Xenopus tropicalis: one gene and its partners. The protein of the gene in region 2 purifies or fractionates together with the protein of the main gene of each other region. This does not show direct contact. Links are inferred from orthologs where the notes say so. Each region holds a gene or a part of one and is shown on either strand. Other genes may lie near its edges.

Region 1 (4,035 bases), on a different chromosome or scaffold from region 2:
ATATTGATACCATGGGCACGGGCACGCAGGATATGATGCCATCTCTGATACTGTGCACCGCAGCTTATGCACTATTCAACAGCCACCGCTGATTCACTCCCCTATTGCCACATTGTATGCCATTTGCAGTCAGCACTACAGGTGGGTGCAATTACAGTACCCTGGAATTCTGGGTAAAACACTGCATTTTAATTTAAAAAAATAGGGATTTGCACATCAAAATTGATCCTACTAATTCCTTTTCGGCTATGGGCACATAACACTTCTTTTGTGCTCGCATTTTAAACCTGTGCACATTTTGTTTTTCAACCACATCTGCTATTTTACTATCCAGCTAACCTGAACAGCCTGGGGCAAATATGCCTGGGAGAATGGGCCAAAATCCCTCCTGAATAGTGTGCAAAGCTAGTACATTCTAAAGCCTTAATGCTGGCATAGTTGCAGTAGGTGGCTCTATAAAATATGAAATTGTGGAACCCTGTGCCGATGGCAGGCATTAGGCACAAGGGGGAACAGCGAATACTGTGGGCTAAGACATGGTATTTTGCTGCAGTTTTATTCCCTTTGTAAATGAACACTAATATTTGAAAACTAACATTGAGTGCCAGTATTGCACAGTATTTCTTACTCAGTAATGAAATAATTGATGAGGGGTCTAAATACTTTTCCAAAGGAAATGTCTATTATCTCTTCTATAGGAAACACACTGGTGCCGCACAATGTACACAGTACAAAGAGTACAAAGGGTACAGTAAGTAGCAAGAACCCAGAGTACAAAGGATATAACATTCTAATCCACTCCTGCAGGGTGCTACATCTATTGGGCAGTGCCCTAGAACATATTCACACCTGAGCATGGAAGCGCAACAAGCAACATCTGAGCGACAAGATAAAGTTACAGTGCAGGTAGCGGCACTCAGAGATGGTATCAATTACAATACACACACATAGAGATATAGATTTAATATATTGTATGTGAGGAGAGAACGAATAAAAGCACTGAGTCAAACATTTTTCCTAATACTGAGTCCATTTATATGTGTCTATGGAATTTGGCACAAGAGGTATTTGGCTTCCCTGAATACGGTGATGCTTTATTTCCTTAAATAAAAACTGTAGTGCCGTGTTAGCCAGTGTCAAAAATAAGAAGAAAAAACACAAATACAAGAGTATTGTAGAAATGATACCTATATTGGCTAACAATAATACATTGCAAGCTTTCGGAGCTCTGATAACTTGCAATGTATTTTTATTGTTAGCCAATATAGGTATCATTTCTACAATACTCTTGTATGTGTTTTTTTTATTATTATTTCCTTACAAACATACACTGTATAACAGCACTAGCCCCAAATCCTTTTAGGAATAATCTCTTAACAACAGCGGGAAATATAAAGTGTTGATTTAGCTATTAAGGATTGTTGGTTCTGCCAATAAGTCATTTATTTGTGGCCTGCAGAGCTGACAATCCAGGCCACTAGCACCCCAAAAAGCATGTTCAATCCCATAGCAATTTAGTAGCATTTTCAGCATGATCAAGCAATTGTGGATTCTGTGTCCCTAAGGGACATCTGAAACATCAACAATACATAACTAATGCCCAGCAATTCATTTCTTTTGACTCAAGGCACCCCTTTACCATGACACATCCTACTTGCTGGTATTTGCCCATTCAAACTAACTATTATCATTGCTAGATTCCAGCCCCATATGCAACAGCGCTTGCACACACAGCGCTACCCCACCTGCGTGTCTATGGGGGCTTCACTGGAAAGCCAGCACTGCTGAATCACAGGAGCCGGGAGGAAAGAGCATTTAGCCAGGGCTCCCGAGGGGCCCCTTGTGGGGAGAATGGAGATACAAGTAGAATGGACAGATTTAACTGTGTAACAACTGTCTGAGGGGTATTTACAGTATACACACCAGGAATAACACCCCACACTGCAGGAGAGTAGTTCATGTTAGGTATGCAGGCTTCCTTCATGGCCAGGGGCTGCCTTTTCCCCTAGATCTAGCCTGGATATATAAAGCAACTGCCCTGCCTTATAAGATAATCTGAGACTCTACAAGAAGTGACCAGAGATATCTGTTTAGACTCTCAGCTGAAATGCCCTTCTGGGAAGTCCCTGGGTCATGCCCATACTCTAACAGACCAACTCACCTGAGATTTCCGATTGTGGCGCTCCATTCAGGCTGAAGCCCTTAGCCAGGTACACCTGCTTCACCTCACTGCAGCTTTTGGTTTTACTTCCAGTGTCTCCAGCTGCCCAGTGCATAAGGCACAAAATGCCAAGATGCCACCACCAACCCCAGCAGAGCCGCTCCATTACCTTTGTGGATGGGTTGGCGTATGAGCCCAGCAAATACAGAAAGGAGAGTTTTGAAGAAGACACAAGGGTAGAGGAAGCCACATAAACAGTCCAGGAGTCAAGCCAATAACTTACAGCTTATCCTTTGTCCCTTGTGGCACCTCAGAGCAAAGAACAGAGGCACCGGCTAGCACCTCCGCTGAGGGGGGCATTCATATGTCAGGGGGGGCACACAAAAGCCCCTAGATGGAGATGATGCAGCAAAACTGGGGTAGGGCATGCCCAAGGTATGGATCCTTCTGTAGATAATGGGCTTAGACCAAAAGAGAACAAAGCACAAAGCAGGACAATGCAGCAAAGCTGGTACTGGAACTGAATTGGATCCCACCTGCACTGCTGTCAGAGGGTCACTGGGAGCCACTCAGCCGGGCTCAGCCTGGGGCCAGCACTGTCAGGCTTGGGGCAAGCTGGGGCAGCGGGTTGGGTTCGGTTGGGGCAGAGCTGGGTTCGGTGTCGGATCCTTGGGAGCAGTGCGGGCTGAGGGGGCTGAGGGGGCTGCCTGTCAGTGACACGGCAGGGGGTGCAGGCTGATTGCTGCTCCACACAAGCTGCTCATGTCGGCTGGAAGCTGCTGGGTGTTGTCCTTATACCGAGATGCCTGGGGGCACCGCTACCTGCCGGCGGGGAGAGCGACTCGGTGCAACTGCTGACCTTCTAACATTGGGGCTAAACGATCCCTTTGTAATGGATCCGCCTGTCAATACGCTCTGTATCACGCCGCAACACGCATCCCCATCCTGCTGCTCTCAGCCACTCGCACAGATGCTACTATCGCAGGGACCAGTCGCACTGACAGCTTTATTGCATGAAACGTTAGGCAGACAGCATTCCCGGGGCTCCCCCGTGTGACCCCACAGTGCCCGCCTGCTTCTCCTGCTGTCAGGCTTATACCGCTATGGGCAACCGGGATGCTCGCCGAGCGCAGCTCTGTGCCGCCTCCCCCGCTACTCCTGTGCGGACTGACTCCCAGCATGGGCCCGCAGCCAATAGCAGGCACAGACACAGGCTGCGCTCTACTCACACGCTGATTGGCTGCTTGGGACAGACTGAAACGGGGGTGGGGACTGCTGGGGTGTGTGCATTTGTACAAAGGATGAAATATGTGATTAGATAGATTGATAGATGATACATAGATAGATAGATAGATGATAGATAGATAGATAGATAGATAGATAGATAGATGATAGATAGATAGATAGATGATAGATAGATAGATAGATAGATAGATAGATAGATAGATGATAGATAGATAGATAGATAGATAGATAGATAGATAGATGATAGATAGACAGATAGATAGATAGATAGATAGATAGATAGATAGATGATAGATAGATGATAGATAGATAGATAGATAGATAGATGATAGATAGATAGATAGATATATGATAGATAGATAGATAGATAGATAGATAGATAGATAGATGATAGATAGATAGATAGATGATAGATAGATGATAGATGATAGATAGATAGATAGATGATAGATAGATGATAGATAGATAGATAGATAGATGATAGATAGATAGATGATAGATAGATGATAGATGATAGATGATAGATAGATAGATAGATAGATAGATAGATAGATGATAGATAGATAGATGATAGATAGATGATAGATGATAGATAGATAGATAGATAGATGATAGATAGATAGATGATA
Region 2 (4,158 bases):
CTCACATAACTTTTTTTCAGCCGTTGAAGAGATACACTCTGTGCACTTGGGGAAATTATTCTCCTTCTATTATCCTTCTCCTTTTTACCGTTTGCTTTAAAGTCAATATAAATTTTGTTAAAGTTTTCTATAACCCTCCAATCCCAACACCAGGAATTATGGAGAATGAGTGGCAGCTTCTTAGATGAGAAATGTAGCACAATCACAATCTTATACAACGCCGAGCAATTTTTTGATACATAACAACCCATCCAAGCATACTTAGTAGTGGTTCAAAATAACCTTAAACCCTGCAGCCCAATCCTCTGACATACCCAGTGATCTGCTAGTACTTACAGAAACCTTATTACTAAGGGAGCTTGTTGGGAAAACTTTTATGATATAAACTGTGGCCCTCTGAGCCGTTTTTGTTATAACCTGGAAGAGGCAATAGGCGTGCAATAATAGACCATGCACGCAGATCAATATCATGGCTTGCAGGCAAATCTTTCAGCACAAAAGCAGAGATATATATTCTAGAATGTCACTGCATGCAGAATAATTTGATGTATCAAACCATTATGTACCACTATATTATGTATGGAGCCCTGCTAATGCTGATGGACTACAGGTTGGCAGGGGGTGCTGGGACACTATGAGGGCCACATATTGGGCATACCTGGTGTATTACACACACAAGTACTTTGTTCTGCAGTAGAGAACAGTGGCACCCAGATCAGTGCAACATATGGAAACCAGATATTATATAATGCAGAGCAATCACAATGAAACAGAAGAACATACACACATTATAAATAAATGATTATAGAGTGAGCATGTAAATAAGAGAGCTAACATAGATAACAGATAAGACTAATAAATTGCCTGAAGATACATTACATAGCATGCCGGGCTATGTTTTACACACCAAACAACATAATTATTTAATAATTATATAATAATTATATATATAATATGATTGAGATATACCAGACAATTAGCAAACACCGAGGGAAATTTTACGAAACAGAGCAATTTTGAAACTCCCAGGGTGATACAAAGGCACACAGAGCAATGCAGAGCGCAGAGCAGCCTTGTCTCATGCAGAGTTAACTAATAGCATGCAGAGCCGCTTTCTGTGTCACAGAGCAACTGTATATTTGCCAGAGAGACTGTACATCATGCTGGGAGAGGCAATGCGGCTCAGTTACGGCACTAAAGGGATTGAAGTCAGGTTAGAGAGGCTGCACACATGCTGGCGGCAGGTGGGACCTATCGGAGCCAAAGCTCAGCTAGAAAGCATTTGGCTGCTTGTAAATATTCTTGATTAAACAAAATAAGCTGGAAAAAATGGCATCACACATTCAAAGGAACTTTGCCCTACGATATTCAGAGACTGAATTGAATTAATACTAGGGGCAACTATTAGGAATGGAGCAAAGGGGGTTTGTGGCTTCCAGACAGCCGCTAGGGGCAATTAGATTGCCAGAAGCAGTGGAGAAAATAAGTGGCTACTTAGCCAGGAAAGGGAGAGCGGAGGTCTCCCCCAGGAGAGAAGACCTAATTCCTTCACAAATCTGTCTGAAACACTTTGCTGGTAGGTGACAAAAATCTGTGCCAAAATAGCATCTCTAGTTAGGAGGGGAGACAAAAATACCCTTCTGCACAGGGAGCATTAACCCTTACAGGGTCAGTTAGAAATCTAACATATATCTATATGTAGTACTACTACATACAACCACTGTCATTGCCAACATAACATAACATGACTGAGGATCCTTATGGGCACAATATACAGGAAAATGAAGAGTTGGGGATACTTATGAGCATGGTACTGAGGAAAAGTGATGAGTTGAGGATCATTATGGGAATGGTACTGGGGGAGTGATGAGCTGGGATCATTATGGGAATGGTTTGGGTGAGTGATGAGCTGGGATCATTATGGGACTGGTACTGGGGAGTGATGAGCTGGGATCATTATGGCACTAAGGAAAGTGATGAGCATGGTACTGAAGAAAGTGATGAGCTGGGATCATTATGGGCATGGTACTGATGTGGGAGAGGACTTGTGTATTATTATCAGCACATTACTATGGGGGGTGATGATTTGGGGATCATTATGGGCATGGTACTGATGTGGGAGAGGACTTGTGTATTATTATCGGCACATTACTATGGGGCAGGGGTTCAGCCAAGGTTCCCTACCCCTGCTATGGGGGGTGGTGATTTGGGGATCATTATGGGCATGGTACTGATGTGGGAGAAGACTTGTGTATTATTATGGGCACATTACTATGGGGGTGATGATTTGGGGATCATTATGGGCATGGTACTGATGTGGGAGAGGACTTGTGTATTATTATGGGCACATTACTAAGGGGGGGGTGATAATTTGGGGATCATTATGGACATGCTGCAGAGAGGAGATATGCTACACTATGGACATGCTACATACAGGGGTGATGATCTCAGTATCATTATGGCATGGTACTGGGGGTTAATAGTTAATCATCAACAGAGTTGCAGGTAAAGGTGCCATCAGATTCGACTCATCAGAGCTTTCATGGATAAATGAAGCCTCTCCTGATGTTGTTCTACTGCAACTACAACACCCACCACAGCCGCTACTGCCAGATTCAGTTAAAAAGCAGCGGAGGCCACAAGTTGCCCATTTCCAAAGCAGCTCCCTTACCTTTAGTATGTAGTGGCTCCTCCTGGAAGAATGTAAAGCGTCTGTATTGAGTACGAATGCTGAGTTCCACAGCAGCAGCCCGGGCTTTCTTTCCTTTCCACTCGCAGGCAGATGAGTCGGATCGCAGAGAGATCAGGGCGATGCTGCGTTCTCCATGTGGTCTCCTCCACTTAAACCCCTTGTGAAACTTACAGCTTGGAACTGACACACAGACACGCCCACTCAGGGCGGAGGCGGGGCACCTGATAGCATCACCGGCAAACTTTAAGCACCGCCCTCTAGTGTGCGTCTTACGGTGATGGAGATTGTGGGTACCAAATCCCTACAGCTGCTCTACATAGCGCTTATTCCGTGTTGTTCCCTAGCCCTGCCCTGGGTAACTGACTAGATTTATACTTACAGGAGTCAGGCGTGCTGGATGAGGGGAGGGTAGGCATGGATAGGGGGGCAGGTAGGCATGGTTAGGGGGCAGGTAGGCATGGCTAGGGGGCAGGTAGGCATGGCTAGGGTGGCAAGTATCAGCCAACCCATGCCCGGCCACTAGCCATAAATAAAGGGTTTCTGCTAGCCAGAAAAGTAAGAATTAAGGTATGTGGGCTTATATGCTGACTTGCTTGCCTGTTTGAATCAGAGCTAACCTTTTGTCTTTTTTGTTGCTTTAGGTTTTGCAGCTAAGAGAAGGCTGCATAAGAGATATAAAGCAAGCTCCCAGCTACAACAGGAAAGCAACCAGCGAAGTGCAGGATCCATTCAGGCAGAAAAATAGTCCCACCCTAAAGGTGCCCATACACGTTAAGATTTGCTCTCTTGGCTAGATCGCCAAGCGAGCGATTCTTCACCCAATATCCCCACCTACTGTATGTGTGGTGATATCTGGGAGCGTGTAGGCTAATTCGATCGTTTGGCCCTGGGGCCAAATGATCAAATTATATTGGTGGCAATGGGGCAGTCGATCTGACTAGATTTTCTAACCTGCCCGATCAAGATCTGCCCGATTTCAGGCCAGATATTGGTCGGGCAGGCCCGTCGGTAGTCCCCATACATGGGCCGATTAGCTGCCAAATCGGTCTAAGGGACCGAGATCGGCAGCTAGAATTGGCCCATTTATGGGGACCTTAAAGGTTACTTCTAGGACCCCCTGGTGTCAAGTAAGGAGGCCAAGGTGAAAGCCCAACCATAAAAAGTCCTTAGGGTGAAGACACACAGAGCTACTTGTCACTGCTACTAAACACCAGAAAATACCCTGCCATAGACAATACACAGAATTGCCTCTGCTAAAACACATGTAGAGACAATTATTAGTAAATGATCAGCATTGTCTGTTTCTGTAGCCATGACAAGTAGCTGCTACTAGTAGCTCTGTGTGTCTTTACCCTTATGGCTAACATAATAGGTTGCAGTATTGGTGTCAAATGCAGGAGAGCCAGAGAGGCCATGGCACCCCGAAATAATTGTTTGATCAGAGTGGCTGATTTGCATTGTGTACA
Region 3 (3,934 bases), on a different chromosome or scaffold from region 2:
CTGATTTCAATACTCTATTAAGTCAACTCGAAAATTTTCAAACTAGTTTGATGGACAACACACACACAGCCATAATTATACAAAAATTTGTATAAAACTCTATTGGTAAGTCGGCTTTATACTAGAGAGGACTAGGGATACTAATACAATCACATCAAATAGTGCAACATAAAAACTGTATGTATTTCTGCAGACCAAGGAGAAAGAACAAACTTACACAACTCACTTCCTGCTGGGATTTACTTTATAGATAAGAAGAGTTCTGGCAAGGGAACAGAGATATCAGGGGGTAAGCTAACCAATACCACCAGAAAGATTAGCTTGCTGAAAGGAGAGAAAATATAGTTTCCATAAAGACTTGTGCCATTGACCAATAAGGCACCAACAATTACAGGTTGATCTGCTATATAGTTACTCAAAATATAGTTACATTGGTCCTGGATTGCTGCTTTATGCAAATGGAAAAAACATTGGAATAAAGAGGAAAAAAATGTGTTTGTACAAAGTCAGTGTGTCATCATGACACAAAATCTATTTTCCCAGTGCACCATGCCCAACATGTAAACATATCGTGCTGCTTACGCTAAGCATTTACAGGACATGCATACAGTGCTGCTTTAGAAAATGATCTAAAAAATACTCTTGTAAATAAAAAGAAATTATTATTCATAGGGCAGGTATTTGGGCTTCACAGGCTAAGCAGTTCCATGATCACAGAATGCTGGGGATAAAAGGGTTAAGAGCGAGTCTAACAATAACGCAGTAAAACAAACAGAAAATAAGCCTTTGCCATATGGGAGAGTGACCATGTAGCATGAAACCCTGCAGCTGGGTTATTTGTCAGACTCTGAACCCAACCAGAGATCACCAGATTAGCTGACTTTTGAACTCTTGGTGGCTAAAAGGGAGTTGTGCCTTTACTTTGACATATTCATTTAAGGGACAATATTACATCTACAGCCCTTGGACTAGAACAGCTTTGTTTAATAAACCCACAAATAGGTGTCAGGTCTCTCCTTCCTGCCAATGGTCGGGGGCAAGAACGTCACTCACAGGGTTTCAGTCTCCCATCCCATGAGCAACACTAAATGCTTTATTGCTCAACAATCGCCTCTGCTGAGGTACTAAAACTCCCAGGATCCTCAAGAGGATAAAACTGCTGGGAGTGTCAACTTGAGTATCCCTGGACCATATAATATAGTTGTTACCATTGAAAATAAAAGGCTAAATCAATTTTACAAAAAAAAAAAAAAAAAAAACAACTTCCCCAGGGCACGAAAAAGCATCTACACAGAAAAAAAGTCATATAGACAACAGTCATTAAATTATGGATACATTTTTCTTTTCTTGCTACCATGGACCCCTCAGGCTGATATGAGTCCAACCTCTGGCCCTTTGACTGCTGATGAATTACAATTCCCATTATAGCAGAAGAACCCTCAGTTTCCTGGATTAGTTGGAATTTGCAACTCAGCAAAAGCTGTAGGGTGCTTTCCTACCAGACAATGTTAATTCAATATTATGGCACAAGAAATAAAAAGTGGGGGAGGGGACATAAGCAGACACTAACAGACGTCCTTGCCCGTAGAGCTTACAATCTTATGAACACGTGGGGACATGCAGGAATGTCAGCCAGTAAGTCCCTCAATAAATCAGAGAGGCAGTTGTCTGATTTCCTGAGTGTGATTCACTGCGGAGCTGCCCCCAGGGCTCAGCGCATAGGCAGCTCCTTACCTGGCCCCTGGAGCAGGGAGGGGGCGCTTAACTTTCACCTTTTCCGCCTTGCCATATTGTTTCCTACCCCGACAGAGTGGCACAAAGTAAATGCGCTAATACTTAGGGCTATAACTTGTGGGGGGGGAAGAGTCAGAAAGGCTAAACACCGGTATACACAGTCACCAGACTGCTCCCACGCTCGGATGATGCTTTGTTCAGAAGTTACTGGCCGGTAAAATCATAAAATAATCATTAGTGACCACTGGGGGCAGTGTTGCATTGGACTCTACGGAGGAGTTAACGTGAAAGTAATGGACAGCCTCAGCCAATATAAAGCCAGAGAAATGAGACGAAACGTAAATCATACTAGCATTTTAATCAATATTACAACAAATGTCTATGCGTGCAGAGCCGCATGTTTTCTTTTATCCCCTCCGGCAACAAATCGACTCGGTCCAACATGTGGCCCTCCAGCTGCTGTTTAACTACAAATCCCGTACGCCCCAGGAGACTTGGCGTGTCGGGGACGCTGGGAGCTGTAGTCCATATGGTCAGAGGCCACAGGTTGGATCGACCGGACAGAGTAAGTGCTAAATCCGTAAATCCCCGGCGCTTTGTCACTCACCATTGATTTCGTGGGTCGGCGCATCGTTCTGGTTGAAGCCCTTGGAAATGTACAGTCTCCGAACCTCCGAACAACTTTTGGACTTGAGATCTGCCCCGACGGGGAGACTGAATAGCGCTAAAGTGCAAGCGAGCAGGGGGTAGAAGGAGATCCAGACCATGGTGAGGCAGGCACTGCAGGGGAATGAATGCGATCGGCACGGAGCTTGATGACTGGCCGCACAGATTACTCCGGCTCCCGGGGGTGGCTCTGTGTCCGGGGAACTTTGCAAAGTGCTGAGAATCCCCTAGTTCTGCCCCTGCTGCTGCCGCCTCCTGACTGATTGGCCGGAGGGCTGCGCTCTGCTCACTTGTCCCCCCTCCCTCCTCCAGCCAGAGTCTAGGAACTGGAGCAAGGAGCGCATGTGTAGCCGGAGCCTGGGCGCACCAGCATGGAATGCAGAGCCAGGGGGCGGAGCTCAGGGCTCCCAGCTGTTAACCCCTGCGGCGGCTTCTCTCTGCCGGCTCCACAATCGCAGCACTGTCTGTTTTTCAACATTTGCGTCTGCGTTTGCCCACAACAGTCTGGGAAATTGAGATGATTGGTATTGTTATTCTTCTTAAAGATTACACATATAACGCTGTATAATCTATGTAGTAGAACGCTCAGACTATGGAAACTGAAATTGAACAATTACAAATAATAGAACAAGCAGATATCCAGCTATAAGCTCACAGGGTCTTACCTGTAAGATATCCATTCTTGGGTGTTATTATTAGTGGTATTATTATAAATAATATAATAACTTGTGAGATTACACAAAATATTAGTTGAGTGACTTTAGTGACAATTTTAGAAGTAGGGTGATATAGATTTTGAGTGGGCACTTGATACTGGCAGATGTAGAAATGAGAAATACTTAAGGGAATTGGTTATTTGCAAGAAATAAATCAGACTTTTCCTTCTCTTTCAGCACATGCTGGGGCCAAGCTAGGCCTGACTTCCCTAGGGTACAATGTGTACCACCAGAAAAAAAAGATGATTGGGAATACAGACTCAAAAGGCATTTTAAAGGCTTTCATGCAGGTATAAGATATTTGTGCATTTTAAAAGTTTTTAATGCTTTTTGAATGCACTGTAAACACTAAATACAGTTAAAATAAAAAGTAATTAGACTAGGCCATATGAGCATTCATTCACATGTTTCGGTTCCTTGCGTTCTTTAAAATCTTTTCTAATGGCAGCAGGCGAGATTTTCTGGGACATCATACAAGTGTATAGCAACAGTATTTGCACTGTACAGGCACAGTTTGTATTTATCAATAAGTAAAGTCAATTTTGGTGGTAAGCAAGTGTACAACATATGTTTTGATGTAGTAAATGTGTCCTTTATTATGGTATAATACTATGGGAGTCTGCTGGTTTGCTGTCCCAACTGCTTTTGCATTGCTTGCAACCATATTGTGTTATGTGCCTTTAAGTGCTCATTTCCTAAACTTCTTACTAAAGGTGCTTATTATTCAGCACTGCTATCCTGTACTTGTTGTCCTCACACACAGTATTGATTTGCAAATGCCTCTGCAACTTTAGTCTATTTACTTCTGAAATGTATTT
Region 4 (4,195 bases), on a different chromosome or scaffold from region 2:
GATAAGTTCTGTAGAATACAATAGTGTTTTATCTGTTATCTGCTATGTAACCTGTGCCTTTTCTCCTTTTTTCCAGCTGGAATGGCTGCCCCCGTGGCTACACAGCAGCTTATTATATAAATTATAGTAGTGTTACTGTAGCAAACACAACAGTGCATTATATTTTTATTACTTTAAACCTCTTTCATTTTTTGGTGTCACTGTTCCTTTAAATGACAGGATTATCATGAATTAGCAACAACTCTTCAACTCCAAGCAAAGATGTGCCTTTACTAGCTCTAACTAATACATGTGCAGTCAGGTTTACCAGATTATATAGACAAGTTTATTTGAGTTTCATATGCAGATGCAGATGCAGTCTAGGCTTAAGACGGTTACTAAAGAGCACAGGGACTTAACATGCTATGGTCAGCCAACCAGAATAAGCCCCACAGAAGAATAAATGTTTCACGCAATCGCATCTTGGCATTGAAAGAACAGTGCATTTACAGGTTAAAGTTTAACTATTCCAGGGCAAGATAAAATCTAGTAGAAAATTAAACAATTGGGGTTTACATGTCATTTAACTTCAGTAATCTGTCATTCTTGCCAGTTTTAAAGCACACTCACAGTAGCTGGCAATGGGTAAAGTTTCCCAGATATTCTCTAAAAAATATCTTTATATAATTTACTGGGAATTCAAGACATTTAATTTAGGTTTAAACCATATACTATGTAGGTGGTACGTGAGGAAAAAAGATGCTTCTCATAGTAACACAGCAGTACAGTGTATATTAATATTAAATTACCCAACCCGCGGCAATATACAATACCTTATCTACTGAAGCAGCTCTAGATAACGTATTACAATATAACACCATGTGCTCTTAATAGCCAAAATTTAAGTGTTCAAATCAGTGCTAACATACAGTTAGAGAGCCGCCTTCCTCTACCTAATCCTGTGTATATTTATATCTAACTCCCTAACGAGTTGGCGCTCTTATATATAAGAAACCAAACCTTAATTTGTGTTAATAAAAAATAAAAATTAATTTTTAATAAATGCAAATTAAGGTTTGGTTTCTTATATATAAGAACACCAACTTGTTAGGTAGTTACAGCAGTACAGTCTTCAAGTGTGAACTTATGATTAGAGGGCACATAATAAAATCCAAAGCTTTTACCTATCAGAACTAGAGTCCTCAGAAGAGTTTTCTTTTGTTTCATCATTATCTTCTGCTGTTTGATCATTCTCCCCATCAGAGACTTGTTTGCAACTCATTTCTGCTGCTATTTCCTTCTCCATAGAATTATTGGTATCTGTGCAATTGTTTTTAAAATTAAGGCTTTCCAACTGAACAGTCACTTCCATACGTTCTTCTTGGTCTTGATGACATGTTGAATTTTGATCCAAGGCAGTTGTACCCACAGCTTCAGATATTTCCAACTCGGGAGCAACAACTTTCTCCTGTTCATCAGTATTTGAAAAACTGTCATTTTGGTGTATTTTTTCAGCTGATTGTGAGGCAATATCAAAGCCATCATTAACTACAGAATATATGCAGTTGTCCATAATTTCTGGTTCACAAATAGGAAAATGATTGCCCTCTATAACACTGTCAGTTGACTGAGTTCCACGTTGTGTTTCCATGACAACATGTAAAAAACTAAAAAAAAAAAAGATATACAAAAACAGTTACAGCCCACAGTAGTAATAGTTAATAATGCAGTAAAAATAAAGTTTGACAATAATAAAGTTCTTCCAACAGACATTTTTGACGTGCTGATCCATTCATCCCACCTAGTGGATATGAAAAAAAGTTGGGGCCCCATACAAGTTATTCATGCATGGGCACAAGTGCCCAGTACCAAATTTTCAGCCGTGCTCCTTGTTTGTGCAATATAAACAGCTGATGTTACTTTATAATTAAGCAATTTGAAAAGAGTTTTATTGATTAATTTGCTAATAAGCCATTCAGTTTATTGGGGGTCAATTGAGTTTGTCCTAAGTTTAACGCTTTCCCACCTACCTGGGGGTCAGTGGAGTTTATATGTAAGTTTCATTGAAAGTATTGTACATTTTTGCACAAGCTGTAATATCACCCACTGTGACCTACAGCACTTATATTTGTCTATTTGTGTCTGTTAGTTACCCCTCCCATATAGATTGTAAGCTCTACGGGGCAGGGACCTCCTTCCTCTTGTGTCCTCGACTCTTAACTTATATGTAAGTTGCTGTATTTATTGTTATACTTTGTATTTATCTATTATCTTATTAACCCCCTGTTTGTATTAATGTATTCTACTGTACAGCGCTGCGTACATAATGTGCAAATAAGCCAGACAGTTTATTTGGGGGTAGTGGAATATACCTAAAGTGTTTTAATTTATTGGCGATCAATGATTTCCCTTTTCTCTGTAATAATTAAACAGTAGCTTGTACTTGATTAAATGATTTTCAGAAGACTTAAGGCATGGTGATCCAAACTGCAGAAAGAGTCTGTATCTGGAAAAGTCCAGCATTCTGGATAATAGATCCTATACCTGTAAAGATTCTGTAATGTATTTGAACCTGTATTATTTATGGAATACAAACCCAATGCCTTTATCCACTGATACAAAAGCATACACCTTTATAGTAATTACATAATTCAAACTTAAATGCGTGTAATCTTTCTCTGGCCATAAAATACTTTCATTGCAATTTTATCACATGCTTAAATAGCGCACTAAAGTGGTAAATGCATTCCTAAGACAAACATAAAAGGAATATATACATATTACTGCCTGACCAGTTTTCGGGCATTTCTAACATCCCTAAAAGACGGGCTCCCCAGGAATATGTGGGTCGCTTTTTGCATCTTAACTGCGATGCAGCAGGTCTATGCTACAAAATGCTTCTCTGGCTATTCGTCAGCAATTCATATGATAAACCGCCCAATGGTCCCGCTTTTTTTCCAATTTTCTTTTACAGCCCACAGTCCCAGATCATACTTACACATTCCACACAACTGTTAATTACACGCTGCTTCCCTCATGTCTTACAGAAAACCCCGACGCGCTATGATGGCGTCACAAGTACACATGTGCGCGGTAATGCGCCTGCGCAGCCTTGTTGGAGTGACGTGCAGACACTGTGTAACTCAGCAATACACTGACAATCCTAAACTGCTAGAAAGTGGCAGTAGTAGGTTTGCTACCAGTCTGGTTTTTTTTTCTTCTCGAAACTGCTACTTTTGTTAGAACAGAAAATATGGAAATAACTTTTCTTTCGTGTTGGTTGCCAGCCAGTAATTTAGTTGCCAACCAGTAATAATGGTTACGAACAATACCTTCAGTTATTGGAGACTATTCTCACAATTTAATCATGAAAGAAGGAGTTCCAAGGGGCTGATTTACTAACCCACGAATCCAAATTGGATAACGAACATTTTGCGACTTTTTTGTATTTTTTGCAATTTTTTCGTCGCCGTTACGACTTTTCGTAAATTGTCGCGACTTTTTCGTAACCATTACGACTTCCGCGAATTGTCGCGACTTTTTCGTAGCCATTACGATTTGCTCGTATCTTGTCGCGACTTTTTTGTATTGAGCGCTCGTAAACTCCGGGCAAAACTTTCAGACTTTGCATGATTTTGAAGCCTCCCATAGGACTCAATGGCACTCTGCCGCTCCAACCCGGCCCAAGGAAAGCCTCCCATAGGGCTCAATGGCACTCTGCAGCTCCAACCTGGCCCAAGGAAAGTCTCCCATAGGGCTCAATGGCACTCTGCAGCTCCAACCTGGCCCAAGGAAAGTCTCCCATAGGGCTCAATGGCACTCTGCAGCTCCAACCCGGCCCAAGGAAAGTCTCCCATAGGGCTCAATGGCACTCTGCAGCTCCAACCTGGCCCAAGGAAAGTCTCCCATAGGGCTCAATGGCACTCTGCAGCTCCAACCTGGCCCAAGGAAAGTCTCCCATAGGGCTCAATGGCACTCTGCAGCTCTAACCCGGCCCAAGGAAAGTCTCCCATAGGGCTCAATGGCACTCTGCAGCTCCAACCTGGCCCAAGGAAAGTCTCCCATAGGGCTCAATGGCACTCTGCAGCTCCAACCTGGCCCAAGGAAAGTCTCCCATAGGGCTCAATGGCACTCTGCAGCTCCAACCCGGCCCAAGGAAAGTCTCCCATAGGGCTCAATGGCACTCTGCAGCTCCAACCTGGCCCAAGGAAAGTCT
Region 5 (3,500 bases), on a different chromosome or scaffold from region 2:
ATGACAAATGGAATGTATTTGGCAAATATCCCCAAGGTTTCCTTTTACGTTAGGCTAGGGTCACCCAGTGCAGCCCTATCTCATGTTCTGGGTTAGGAGCTACCTAGCAGCACCAGATATGGGTGGGTGGCAGTGAACCCTATCAGTTTAGTAAGGGATCAGCTGATGTGCTGAACTGACACATACCATACTCCTGTCGAGAGCCAGTATATTTGATAACCTGTCATATCGGTGAACCTTTTATAAGTGATAACTGGTGTTACTTTGGACATGTCTCCAGTGTTCCCCTGACAGCATTTCAGATGGAACTTCTCCATTTGGCAAAGAACAACTGCATGTGCAAATGAACACAATTTCTAAAGAATTTAATGCTGCAAAATATAAACCATACCGTTAGCTTTTTCTTCATCCTCACTGGAAGAACTTTCCTCAGAACTCTCAGCAGCTGCTTTAGGAGTGGAATTTGCTGTTTTGGGAGTAGAGATATTCTTTCCTTTTTGCTTTTCATCTTCAGAATCAGAACTCTCACTGCTGCTTTCTTTTTTAGGAGCAGGTTTTGCTTTGGGAGTAACTGGGGATTTAGAAATAGCAGTATTTGTTTTTGTAGCCTTTAAGTCATCATCTTCTGAGCTACTGTCTTCAGAACTGCTATCTGCAGCTTTCTTTGGAGCTGGCTTTGTGGCCTTTGCTCCTTGCTTCACATCCTTTGCTGCTGGTGGTTGTTTAGGTTTTTGTTTTTCGTCATCGCTGGAACTGTCTGATGAGGAGCTGCTGCTGGCCTTTGCCTTATTAACAGCCACTGGGCTCTTCTTTGGAGGAACAGTAGCCTTAGCAGCTGGGGATTTCCCAGTAGTTTGCTTGCTTTTCCCCTCCTCTTCGCTGCTTGAATCAGTGCTGTTAGCCTTAGAAGGTTTTTTGTTTTGAACTTGGACCTTGGGGGTAACTGGTGTTGTAGCTTTGGCTGGTGGCTTTGCGGGTTTTGTTTTCTTCTTAGAATCTGAATCACTGGAACTGCTGTCAGAGCTGCTTTCTGCTTTCTTGGAAGGCAGAGACTTTACTGCTGGGGACGGCTTATTAAGTGGCTTAGTAGTTTTCGTGGTCTCCTCTTCTGAGCTATCAGAGTCTAAAAGACATTATAGAACAACATGTTAAACTGATAAACAGATGCTGCTGCTGCACAAAACAAGGTAAATAATTCCTAGCATAGTACATGTATACGAGTGCAAGATTGTTTTACTTAAATGAAAAGCAAATTATTAAATAAGAATCGTTTATTTAAACAACATACCACTATTTTGGCTCTGAATAACAGATACCTGTATTACTTAGAATTAATTTTCCTTTAAGAACCTTACCTATAATCTGCCTATAGAGCACACTTGGACTTATATATTCCCACTGCCTATAGAGCACACTTGGACTTATACATCTGCCTATAGAGCACACTTGGACTTATACATTCCCACTGCAAACAACCCACTCAGACAAAACCAAGCCATACCAGAGTCTGAAGAGCTGGAAGCCTTCTTTGCAGGAACAGACTTTGCAGCAGCAGAAGCATCTGTCTTGGAAGCAGCTTTCCCATGTGTAGTCTTAACTCCTGGCTTTGCAGAGGATTTCTTTTCATCTTCACTGCTGGAATCTACACAAAATAAGATCCCATAAGGGTAAGATCAGGCTAAAATGGTCACTGCAGCAAAGTTAAAGAAATCTATTAGGACATAGTAAGATTGCAAATACCAATCATTCCAGACGTGTGTCTTTTTAAAGACTACTGTAAATCGCAAACACAACTGATGGGTTACCATCCTTAAAAAATTGCCTTAAAATAGTTATGGATACATATTTCATGGTCATTCTCAAAAATGCTAAGTTCCAAGCAGGCAATACTGAACTATATGGAAAGAATAAGGCAGTTATACAGAGTAGTTTATGCAGATGAATTATCTTGATTAACTACTCAAATTTAACTCCTCAACAGCTGGAAGGTCTATGAAACACTGGCTGCTTTACTAAACATGTCATAACAGAATGCTTTATTCTGAATAAAATATCCCTGTTATATAAAAATACTAATAAGAGGTCAGGAACACTGGGCTCCTTAACTGTAAAAATAACCATTTCAGAACCTATATAATTTAAACATTCTCAATTTTAACTGAGAGTGCAGATACCTGAGCTATCTGAAGAACTGGATTCTTTCTTAGTTGGAGCTTTCTTGCCTGGGGTGGTTTTAGCAGCAGGCTTGGCAGGAGTGGTTTTAGCAGCAGGCTTGGCAGGAGTGGTTTTAGCAGCAGGTTTGGCAGGGGTTTTCTTCTCATCTTCATCACTGCTTGAGTCTTAAGTTAATTACATAGTTAAAGTTTAGCATGCCTGTTACTGTACATTTGGTACAATGCTGACAAAATACCTCCTATATGCCACCTACCACACAAAGCTTGGCCTTAAGGTTTTATTAAATAAACCCCAGCATGACTACAATTTGAAAGGTTTCCTTTTAACTCCCCTGTTTTCATTCTATAAAGTATGCAAGCTTCTATTATATACCTGTTTTTCCACTTACCACTGCTGTCTGAGGAGCTTGAATCCTTTTTGGAAGTTTTGGGGGTTCCTTGTTTTGCAGGCAAGGTCTTTGATGTTGGTGTTGCTTTGCTAGTTGTGGGTGTTTTGGAAGTTGGTGTAGCAGCACTCTTTGCAGGAGTAATTTTTGTGGAAGGTTTAGGTGTAGTCTCTTCATCACTGCTAGAGTCTACATCGTGTGGAAGATAACATGTCAAACAATGAAGCAAACAACGTTTAAAAGAACTACATGTGATAGAAGTCAGATTTGGGACCTAATTTATGCATTAAATATTCAAGAAAGATTAAAAGGGAAGTTCACCTTTAGAGAATACTTGCAATATAGCTGTAATTGCCTTAATCATTATTTTTGCAACTGGGCCTTCGCATTTACACCAGTTTACTACAATATTGATGCAGAAATATTAAGGGTCAGGCATAATGCCTTAGTGCATTACTGAGCTTGCCCTGTATCTTACTAAATTATTTACACAAAATTAACAATTTTAGCATTTAAAAATAAGGATTTTTGTATGGGAGATGGAACTGCATTATTTCAGGGTCTCTCAATAATAGATAACATATTTACAAAAGATACGGTTTTAAAAAAGTGCTAGGTGTAGCCACCATTATCTAAAGCAAACAGTTTTTCTGGCTTCCATGCTCTAGGTTTGAAGAAGTACATAGTTGTTGACACAACATAGTTGACACACTGGTGATTTAAGCTGCATTAAGTAAGATGTGACTAGATTTTCATGCAACTGAAAGTAACTTTTTTGTTTTTTTACTTAATACTTAACATAACTAGAGCACGGACAAGTCCCATTTGTTTTTTTGCATTTCTTAACGTTTCTCACATTTTATTTTTGGCCCTGAAAATCCTCCTATAGATCCCACCAAGAAGAATACGTCCCTCTTGCCACCAACCCTCTTCAAGAATT
Region 6 (4,211 bases), on a different chromosome or scaffold from region 2:
GTATGTTCAAGCTCAAGTCATATTCATTCAGTTAATGTTAAAAAGGGGTGTATACTGACAAGTGGGGGGTGGGGCGCTTAGGTATAACCAGTGATTCTAGTCTGTAACCTGTTACCACGTTCCGGTGCTCATCTTTTTCAAAGGGGGTGCGCCTAACAACTTGGCCCCCAGTAATGTTACCATGACCTGATAGGCTAAGCATCTAAGTACAACAGAAGTGCACAAATCTTTACTGTGAATATTCAAAATGGCAAACTGGAACAGGCACAACAAACAGTTCACTTAAGTAATAAACAACGATTTTAAATATGTCAATGAGTTTCATACCTTAGTAAAATCCCACCGCGGCCTCTACCTCCAACTACATTAGGACCTGTGAGGGACAGTCGTCTTGCTTGTGCAGGCCTGAAACAAATTAGGAACACTGATTCAGTTTTCACAGAAAATGTATGCACCAATCAATAAAAGGATTATTACTATAAACGTAGAGTTGAAAGGTATACGATCAGCAGCCAAAGAAAGTGAAACTAACTTACCAGAGATAGTAAGAAAAAAGCAGGATGCTAAAAACATGTAAGTATACCCAGTGTATAATACACAATTAACATTTCTAAATTATTATTTGCATCACTAAGAGCTGAATATCAGCATTTGCATTGCAGAAAGATTTCCTTTCCCTTCCAGAGGTGGATCCACATTAACAAACTGGCACAAATAATATTTTATATTATTGCTGTCTACACATGCTTCTTCCAAAGTAGCTGATGTTCAGCAATTGTCAAAAAAAAAAAAAAAAGTGATTCTAGCAAAGTCTGACACTTGCTCTTAATGCTCAACAAAAACAACACACTGAAAATCTGTTTGAGACACAAATATAAAAGACCCAAGATCTGAGGTGCTAGAGAATGCAAGGTAACCACTATGAAGACCCATCATATTTGTGTCATATGTATAACAGAAACCTAGTTAGGATCCTACACAAAACAGCCAGTTCACATATGTGCTTTTGTTTAAAGGAACAGTAACACCAAAAAATGAAAGTGTATAAAAGTAACTAAAATATAATGTGCTGCTGCCCTGCACTGGTAAACATTGTGTGTTTACTTCAGAAAGTCTGCTATAGTTTATATAAATAAGCTGCTATGTAGCCATGGGGGCAGCCATTCAAAGGAGAAAAGGCACAGGCACATAGCAGATAACAGATAAAACACTATTGTATTCTACAGAACTTATCTGTTATCTGCTATGTAACCTGTGCCTTTTCTCCTTTTTTCCAGCTTGAATGGCTGCCCCCGTGGCTACACAGCAGCTTATTAAATAAATTATAGTAGTGTTACTGTAGCAAACACACCAGATTTACCAGTGCAGGGCAACAGTGCATTATATATTTATTACTTTAAAGCTCTTTTATTTTTTGGTGTTACTGTTCCTTTAAAGGGCCAGTAACATCAAAAAGTAAAAATATTTTTATACATTCAACGTTTGATCTGAAAACTATTACTTGGCAACAAATTACCCTATTGTATGTGAGAAGGGTTTTAAGCACTATCTTTACCCTAACTTTTAGTATGTTATAGAATGTCCTATTCTTAGCAACTTTTAAACAGATTTTAATTACTTGCCTTACTCTTCTGCTTATTTCCAGTGGGGGGGGGGGGGGGGTGTCCACTGGCCCCAGAAGTAGCCTGGTTGCTAAGGTAAATAAGACCCCAGTAACCACATATCTGAACAAAAAGCTCTAATTGAAAAGCCACAACAAATGAAAACCTATTGCAAATTGTCTCAGAATATAAATGCCTACTATACCAAATGTTAATTTAAATGTAAACTGCCCCTTTAATTCTATAGTATTGTTTAATGCCATGAAAGGCATTTGACCCCTTATTTTTCTACTTGTGTAAGAACTGCACTCATTGTACTCTACAAAGTTTATTGATCTGCTGTAGGAGCCCTTTTGCCTTGTTCAACTTGAGCGGCTGCCACCATGGCTCCACTGCAGTCTGCTTTACAAACACTACTACTGTATAAACAAACAGTTGGGAGGAAGTGCAGATGCCTGATAGGCTGGGCTGCAATTTAAATGTAGTACCACAAGTCCCATAGCTATATATAGACACATTTGCTTTTATATCTGTATAGGGAAGCCTGGTCTCGGCACAATCAATTTAGAAAGGGAAATAGGGATTGGAGCCCTTTGTTGTAATATGTGTAAAATACTGTAGTAAAATAAAATAGTTCCGCAACAAAAACATAGTTTCCCCGCGTCCGCAGATGATTGCCTCAGCGTTAAAGCCCATTCACTGCCTAATAAGCACTATGTAAGCCACACAGGGCTACACAGGCAGAACCATTCATTAAACACAATGCTGCAGCACGGCCTGCGAGTTTGCACAAATGATAAAGAAGCCCATCAGCCTTGCGTATTCTCACGAATTAGCTGCAGCCTAAGGCCGATATCGCCTGCACGCAGGCCCTTCTGGAAGTTTGTATGAGGGCAGTGGCCTGTATAATGCTTCATACACCATGCCTGCCATGCGGCGCAACCCAACCAGGAACCAGAGCGGAACCTTAATACCACAACACATGCATTAATCCTGGAACCCACCTAGTCTCATTCGGGTCCCGGCCAGTCAATTTCCGTATGTTTTCGTCGACATTTTTTAGGCTCTCTTTTGCTTTTTCCAACTGCTCTTGCAGAGTTCGCACAGCCACCGCCATTTTCTCCGCCCTAATCGCGCGTCTCAATCACTTCCGGGTCGTTGAACAAACTAATCAAGAGCCAGCAGCCAGCGCACTGAAAGTCCTAAAGCGGAAGTGGAACGTAACATTGCGGACCCGTGGGGGGAAGGGGGCGGGGCGATAATGTTAACTAATTACAGGGAAGAGTCGTGCAATGGGCTTTGCTGTCAGAGATTTGCCCTGGAACCAATAGTAATTTGCTGTTTTTTTTTCCACCCCGAATCTTCGCCCAATCAGAGATAGAGATTGCTGTAGGCATGAACAAGCAGGATATGGCTGATGAAGCCCTCTTTTTGCTTCTGCACAATGAGGTTATATCCTGTGTGTATAAAGCCGGCGGTGACCAGGGGGATGCGGTAAGTCAGTGTCGAATTAGAAAGGGGTATGTATGGGGAGTGGCTGCACAGGGGCTGACAGCATTCACCATAATTGCAACGTACAGCAAAGCAGAACATACGAGTAGGTGCCCCTTACTGGACTTCTAGCTGGTTTGGACCACAACTCCCTGTGATTCAGTATAGGCTTTGGTATTTGAAGTACACAGAGCCCTTATCAGCCTCCATAGACCCATTAAATAGTGACTGCTAATGGCATCTTAAAGTAGCAAAATCCACCAAATGCCAGTATGGCTGTGCCTCAGAGCTACTATAAATGGTGCCAGACAGCACAGAAATCACCTGAACTAACTTTCTGATAAGAAATTGTCAGCGTTTTGCTCTGCCTTTTGTCCATTAGAAAACATACAATTGTAAAAGTCTATAGGGGTATATTTATCATGCTGTGTAAAAAGTGGAGTAAAGCATTAAAAGTGATGTTGCTCATAGCAGCCAATCAGATGCTTTGCTTTGGTTTTCTAACTGTTGAAATCTAATTTCTGATTGCCCTGGGCATCATCACCGGTGATGTTTCACTCCATTTTTTACACAGCATGATAAATATACCCCTATGTGTTCCTGTGGTGGAACCTGTCAGCTGACTCATGTGCAAATGCAAGCTTCAATGTTAAAGAAGTTTTTTTTTATTGGAAACTTACTGTGTAATAGATTACTCTCAGGTAAAAAATGTGTGTTTGCTTCAGGAAATCTAGGGTGCTAACACACAGTCCCCCCTGGAAAAAAAAAAGCAGCACCTATATTTTCCTAGCGGCGATTTACACCCTTGCTGGTAGAAAAGCAAGGTAGAGGAGATTAGTTGCCACTGCTAGAGGAGGCTAATTGGGGGGCACTAATCTCCTTGTGTCATCTGCCCTACAGTTTATATAAGTAAGGGAGGTGGCAAACGGCACGATTAGTCGCCGCCATAAATCTTTACTGCCAGAGGTGACTTATCTCCCTGAAATGCCATTCTACTGACAGGAATGTAAATCACTGGTGGGATGGCATACGGTCACTTTGGTTTTATGAAGTCGGTGAAGTTCCTCACAAGAAAACTTTGGGCGAATTTCAGAAAACCTAAGCTATGTGTATGCCATT
Region 7 (4,249 bases), on a different chromosome or scaffold from region 2:
TTGATTCCACCTAAGATATAATTACCCCTTATTGGAGGCAAAACAATCCTATTGCGTTTATTTAACATTTAAATGATTATTAGCATACAAAAAATAAGTAAACCTTTTTTTTCCCCCTCTCTCTCTAAATAAGACTCTATACAGCCCCAGTATAACATCCCTTTCTTTCTGCACTCAGTCCGATGCAGATTCTGTATCACAAGAAGCTCAACCTAAGATTAGGAAGTATCTGAGAGAGCTGAGGTTGAGCTGTTTGTGATACAGAGTCTGCAACAGACAAAGTCATTTTAGGGGCTTTTAAGATAAAAGGCTTACTTCCCCTTTAAGGGTATGGAGATCCAAATTACAGAAATATCCTTTATCAAGAAAACCCCAGATCCTGAGCATTCTGGATAAAAGGGTCCCATACCTGTACATCAGATGTTGTTCTGCTGCAACCACCAAATTCAAGGGGTATCTCTGTGCATATAACTTGTGTCTGCCCTTCTGTCTATTGCTCAGGGAGTAGAAGAGAATCCCTTCACATGCACAGCCAAGCCACTAGTCTGTCCCAAAGCCTGCCAACTAGTTATAAACTTCTACTCTTTTTGTGAGCTATAGATTGCTTCTTTCTATCTCGGGTCTTCATCTACAGAATCCCTACACTCTCCAATAGTGGCCCTGCTCTTCAATACCTGTATATTTTATATTACGTCAAGATTCTAAATACATATATCTGTTTGTGACCGATGTATTTGCCATTTTTATTCCAGAAAATGGCAGATAACCTGACCAGAGTTATCTCCAGCCAAAAAGTATCATTTTTTGCACTAAGAAAATGCAATAACAGGCAACATTGAAGCATAAATGTATCATTTTCATGGGTTTTATCATTAAAACGTTATTTGGAAAGGAAGCAAGAAGCAAGTTTTTTACCTCTTTCTGTTTTCTGACTCTTATAACAATTTGTCAGGTCTCCTTCAGTTCTGTAAATCAGGTGGCTTGCAACATTGTTTTGGGAGTCAGAGCCAGGAGTGAATAGGATGCACCAGCCAAACAGTTACTGATTTTAATAGCAAATACATTTACATAAAAACAGTAACATCACTGACACATTTTAATGAATGTATATTGGAACGTTGCTTAGTATTACATTTGAATACTGTGCTTGCCTGGTGCCTCTTGTAAAAGCTGCAGGCTGCTGTTGTATGACAAACTTCCCTGTGTAAACAAACTCATAATAAATAATCTCTAACACAAGGCCCAGCAGTTTTTGAAACCAGAATCTGCTGCTGCTGCTGGCAGGTGTAACTCAACAAAAGCTGGCAAGTCACATAGAACATCCTGCTCTGACTTAAAGGCCCTTAAATTAACTCCCAAGATGAAGTATACAATGAAAGTGATACACATTGTTGATTTTCTGTGGTTTCAGAGTCATTTAGCCTTTACTAGGGATGCCAGTATTTTGGGATTCGGCAGCCTACAGCAGTGTGAAGACTATAGTGACATCACTAAAATCTCTCTCCCCTTCCTGTAGGTGCCAGCGGCAGCCTTCCTATTCTCTGAGCATGTGTGTAACTTGATCCTGTCTCCTGTTCTGAGCTACACATGCCCACCAGCCAATCAGAAGTGGATCTGCCGGGGGGGGGGAGGGAATGAAACACATGTGCAGTATGATGCAAGGAGGGAAAGGAAGGGGAAATAGGGATGGCTGCCTGTTCTAGAAAATATGAGTAAGTGTAACCAAGTAAATATTTGATTAGGTGAGCCAAAAGTGTGGCGTTTTTACTAAACAATAGGACTACTGGGCAGTATGCTTTTTAAATTTTGACTTGCATTCTCCTTTAATGTCAATCAGAGGCATAATGTATGGTGTGTCAGGAGGCACTGCCTGCATCAGGACCCGCTCTGCAAGCGCTAGATTTATGCAGAGAGAAGAAACCCTGGGGAGTAAGTGCTCTGTAAAGGGACTTACTTGGGTAATAAATAAAATGTTTCCCCGTTTATGCATGGGTAGTTTGGTTCCCTCCCACACTCCAAGAACATACAGCAGGTTAACGGGGTCTCGATAAAATTATTAGGCATGAATTGATAGGGACCTTAGATTGTAAGCTTCTCTGGGGCAGTGACTAATGTGAATACTGCATTATATGTCAAGCGCAGAGGAATGCCTGTGCTATATAAGTAAATAATACATTAATGGCATGGGGCACTGTGGGCAGAAAAAAAACATGGAGCTTTGACCCCCCCCCCCTCTGTCTTTTTTTTTATACAATTTTTCCACCTTTATTAACTGTAGAGACGTCAACCAGTTCCCTGTCATAAGGAAGATAATGATCCTCTGGGAATTTAGTTCCGGCATAGTTTGGACTAAATATCCCGAACTCAAATGTTATGACCCTCAAGGCATTGGGCTGAGTGCCCCACATAAGTTGCTGAACTATAGCTCCCTTGATCCTCAGCGTTAGAGGTTACTGCAAGTTGTAATTTTCCATTCGCTATAGGATCTCAAGCTGAAAGTCCAGGATAAAGCCACTCTGTAACCATAAGGTAAATGTAAGCAGAAAACTTACTTTGACTTGGGCCACGCTACTCTTCATGATACCAAGCTGCCCCCTCCAAAGCTTCTCGGGGAGATCGGAAAATGTAAAGACTTAGAATAAACAACCGCTTGTTGGTCACCGCCACCCAAATCAAATTACATAAAGAACAATCCCGCTTATTGGATTAAACGCACAGTGTTCTATTTACAATACCGCTCACACTGCACGACATAATACACTTCCGGTTTCCCAGCATTCTCTATTCTAGCCAGCGCACAGTGATATGTACGGGAGCCGAGACAGGACAAACGGGACTAAGAGTCGCAAGGAGAAGCTAAAATAGCAGCGTTGGCTGTAATAAGCGGTGTAGCTATATTGCAGTCCTTTACATTTAATCATTTACACAAATAGGCCCTTCTTCCTAGGTACCAGTGTATTTAAAATTAAAGGGACTTTAAACCGCTAAATATTTTTTGTTTAATAAGAGAAAGCTCTTTCCAATACCCATTGTTAAAAAATAAGTGGTAACTGCAGTATTTTCATGTCCATTCTTTGTTGAGTTTCTATTTTACTTGGTGCAGGAAATTCCCTGGGGTGAGGGCCCTGCTAAATAGTAGTCTGATTACTGACGGCAGCCTGTCACCAAGGAACGGACACTTTCCACATCATACACACTTTTTTTTTAGGGCTTCTGTAACATGATGTGAAACACACACGGGTACATTTATCAAAGTACGATTGCTTCCGAATAGTTTTTGTACTGCGCGTATTTTTTGCGACTTTTTCGTACTTTGCAACAATTTGTGCCACAAAATCGTATTTGTCGTAACGAGTACGAAAGTTTCGGATTCATTCAAGCTTCGGTATCATGACTTTCCTTGGGCCAGGTTGGAGCTGCAGAGTGCCATTAAGCCCTATGGGAGACTTTCCTTGGGCCGGGTTGGAGCTGCAGAGTGCCATTGAGCCCTATGGGAGACTTTCCTTGGGCCGGGTTGGAGCTGCAGAGTGCCATTGAGCCCTATGGGAGACTTTCCTTGGGCCGGGTTGGAGCTGCAGAGTGCCATTGAGCCCTATGGGAGACTTTCCTTGGGCCAGGTTGGAGCTGCAGAGTGCCATTGAGCCCTATGGGAGACTTTCCTTGGGCCAGGTTGGAGCTGCAGAGTGCCATTGAGCCCTATGGGAGGCTTTCCTTAGGCCAGGTTGGAGCTGCAGAGTGCCATTGAGCCCTATGGGAGGCTTTCCTTGGGCCAGGTTGGAGCTGCAGAGTGCCATTGAGTCCTATGAGAGGCTTCCAAAATCATGCACAGAAGGATCAAAGCCATTTACAATCATTCGGATATGAAAATTTAGTCACTTTCGGATCGCCGATACAATATTATCGTGACTAATACGATTTTTTCGTAAGCATTTTCGTGACATTTCCGATCATGAGAAATTATTGTATCTAATCTGAATTATACCCATTTCGAGATTTGAACTCATGCTTTGATGAATCAGCCCCATAGGGGCACATTTATCGAAGCACGATGACCACGATTGCAAAAAAATTTGTATTGTTGTAAAGTTTAGAACTTTTTGTAATGACCACGAAAATATCGGTACAATTACGCGACTTATTCGGGTTTTGCATAAATTTTTATGCAAAAGTCATATTTTTCGCAATGATTACAAACATTTCGGAATTCATTCAAGCTTGGGTATCGTGACTTTCTTTTGGCCAAGTTGGA

What was found.
Region 1: the proteins of camkv (region 2) and gpc1 purify together in Homo sapiens (affinity purification with mass spectrometry; 3 studies listed by BioGRID and IntAct, counting the BioPlex papers as one, with this or other methods). This does not show direct contact. The link is inferred for Xenopus tropicalis from reciprocal best matches to the Homo sapiens genes CAMKV and GPC1.
Region 3: the proteins of camkv (region 2) and gpc4 purify together in Homo sapiens (affinity purification with mass spectrometry; 3 studies listed by BioGRID and IntAct, counting the BioPlex papers as one, with this or other methods). This does not show direct contact. The link is inferred for Xenopus tropicalis from reciprocal best matches to the Homo sapiens genes CAMKV and GPC4.
Region 4: the proteins of camkv (region 2) and naf1 purify together in Homo sapiens (affinity purification with mass spectrometry; 3 studies listed by BioGRID and IntAct, with this or other methods). This does not show direct contact. The link is inferred for Xenopus tropicalis from reciprocal best matches to the Homo sapiens genes CAMKV and NAF1.
Region 5: the proteins of camkv (region 2) and nolc1 purify together in Homo sapiens (affinity purification with mass spectrometry; 3 studies listed by BioGRID and IntAct, counting the BioPlex papers as one, with this or other methods). This does not show direct contact. The link is inferred for Xenopus tropicalis from reciprocal best matches to the Homo sapiens genes CAMKV and NOLC1.
Region 6: the proteins of camkv (region 2) and pnn purify together in Homo sapiens (affinity purification with mass spectrometry; 3 studies listed by BioGRID and IntAct, counting the BioPlex papers as one, with this or other methods). This does not show direct contact. The link is inferred for Xenopus tropicalis from reciprocal best matches to the Homo sapiens genes CAMKV and PNN.
Region 7: the proteins of camkv (region 2) and cwc22 purify together in Homo sapiens (affinity purification with mass spectrometry; 3 studies listed by BioGRID and IntAct, counting the BioPlex papers as one, with this or other methods). This does not show direct contact. The link is inferred for Xenopus tropicalis from reciprocal best matches to the Homo sapiens genes CAMKV and CWC22.

What each region holds. Positions count from the first base shown.
Region 1 is NC_030681.2:127,205,484-127,209,518, forward strand, and holds the start of gpc1 (glypican-1 precursor), read right to left. Parts: upstream 2,801-4,035; 5' UTR 2,328-2,800; coding exon 2,162-2,327; intron 1-2,161. UniProt on the Homo sapiens protein: Cell surface proteoglycan that bears heparan sulfate. Binds, via the heparan sulfate side chains, alpha-4 (V) collagen and participates in Schwann cell myelination.
Region 2 is NC_030680.2:126,516,771-126,520,928, reverse strand, and holds the start of camkv (caM kinase-like vesicle-associated protein), read right to left. Parts: upstream 2,801-4,158; 5' UTR 2,672-2,800; intron 1-2,671. UniProt on the Homo sapiens protein: Does not appear to have detectable kinase activity.
Region 3 is NC_030684.2:68,008,712-68,012,645, forward strand, and holds the start of gpc4 (glypican-4), read right to left. Parts: upstream 2,801-3,934; 5' UTR 2,502-2,800; coding exon 2,342-2,501; intron 1-2,341. UniProt on the Homo sapiens protein: Cell surface proteoglycan that bears heparan sulfate. May be involved in the development of kidney tubules and of the central nervous system.
Region 4 is NC_030677.2:51,909,520-51,913,714, reverse strand, and holds the start of naf1 (H/ACA ribonucleoprotein complex non-core subunit NAF1), read right to left. Parts: upstream 2,801-4,195; 5' UTR 2,795-2,800; coding exon 2,772-2,794; intron 1,647-2,771; coding exon 1,164-1,646; intron 1-1,163. UniProt on the Homo sapiens protein: RNA-binding protein required for the maturation of box H/ACA snoRNPs complex and ribosome biogenesis.
Region 5 is NC_030683.2:44,081,966-44,085,465, forward strand, and holds part of nolc1 (nucleolar and coiled-body phosphoprotein 1), read right to left. Parts: intron 2,750-3,500; coding exon of another isoform or gene 2,564-2,749; intron 2,340-2,563; coding exon of another isoform or gene 2,175-2,339; intron 1,643-2,174; coding exon 1,502-1,642; intron 1,124-1,501; coding exon 392-1,123; intron 1-391. UniProt on the Homo sapiens protein: Nucleolar protein that acts as a regulator of RNA polymerase I by connecting RNA polymerase I with enzymes responsible for ribosomal processing and modification.
Region 6 is NC_030684.2:104,735,343-104,739,553, forward strand, and holds the start of pnn (pinin), read right to left. Parts: upstream 2,801-4,211; 5' UTR 2,719-2,800; coding exon 2,606-2,718; intron 406-2,605; coding exon 328-405; intron 1-327. Other genes in the region: trappc6b (trafficking protein particle complex subunit 6B), read left to right, coding at 2,997-3,095. UniProt on the Homo sapiens protein: Transcriptional activator binding to the E-box 1 core sequence of the E-cadherin promoter gene; the core-binding sequence is 5'CAGGTG-3'. Capable of reversing CTBP1-mediated transcription repression.
Region 7 is NC_030685.2:63,083,775-63,088,023, reverse strand, and holds the start of cwc22 (pre-mRNA-splicing factor CWC22 homolog), read right to left. Parts: upstream 2,801-4,249; 5' UTR 2,580-2,800; coding exon 2,553-2,579; intron 1-2,552. UniProt on the Homo sapiens protein: Required for pre-mRNA splicing as component of the spliceosome. As a component of the minor spliceosome, involved in the splicing of U12-type introns in pre-mRNAs. Promotes exon-junction complex (EJC) assembly.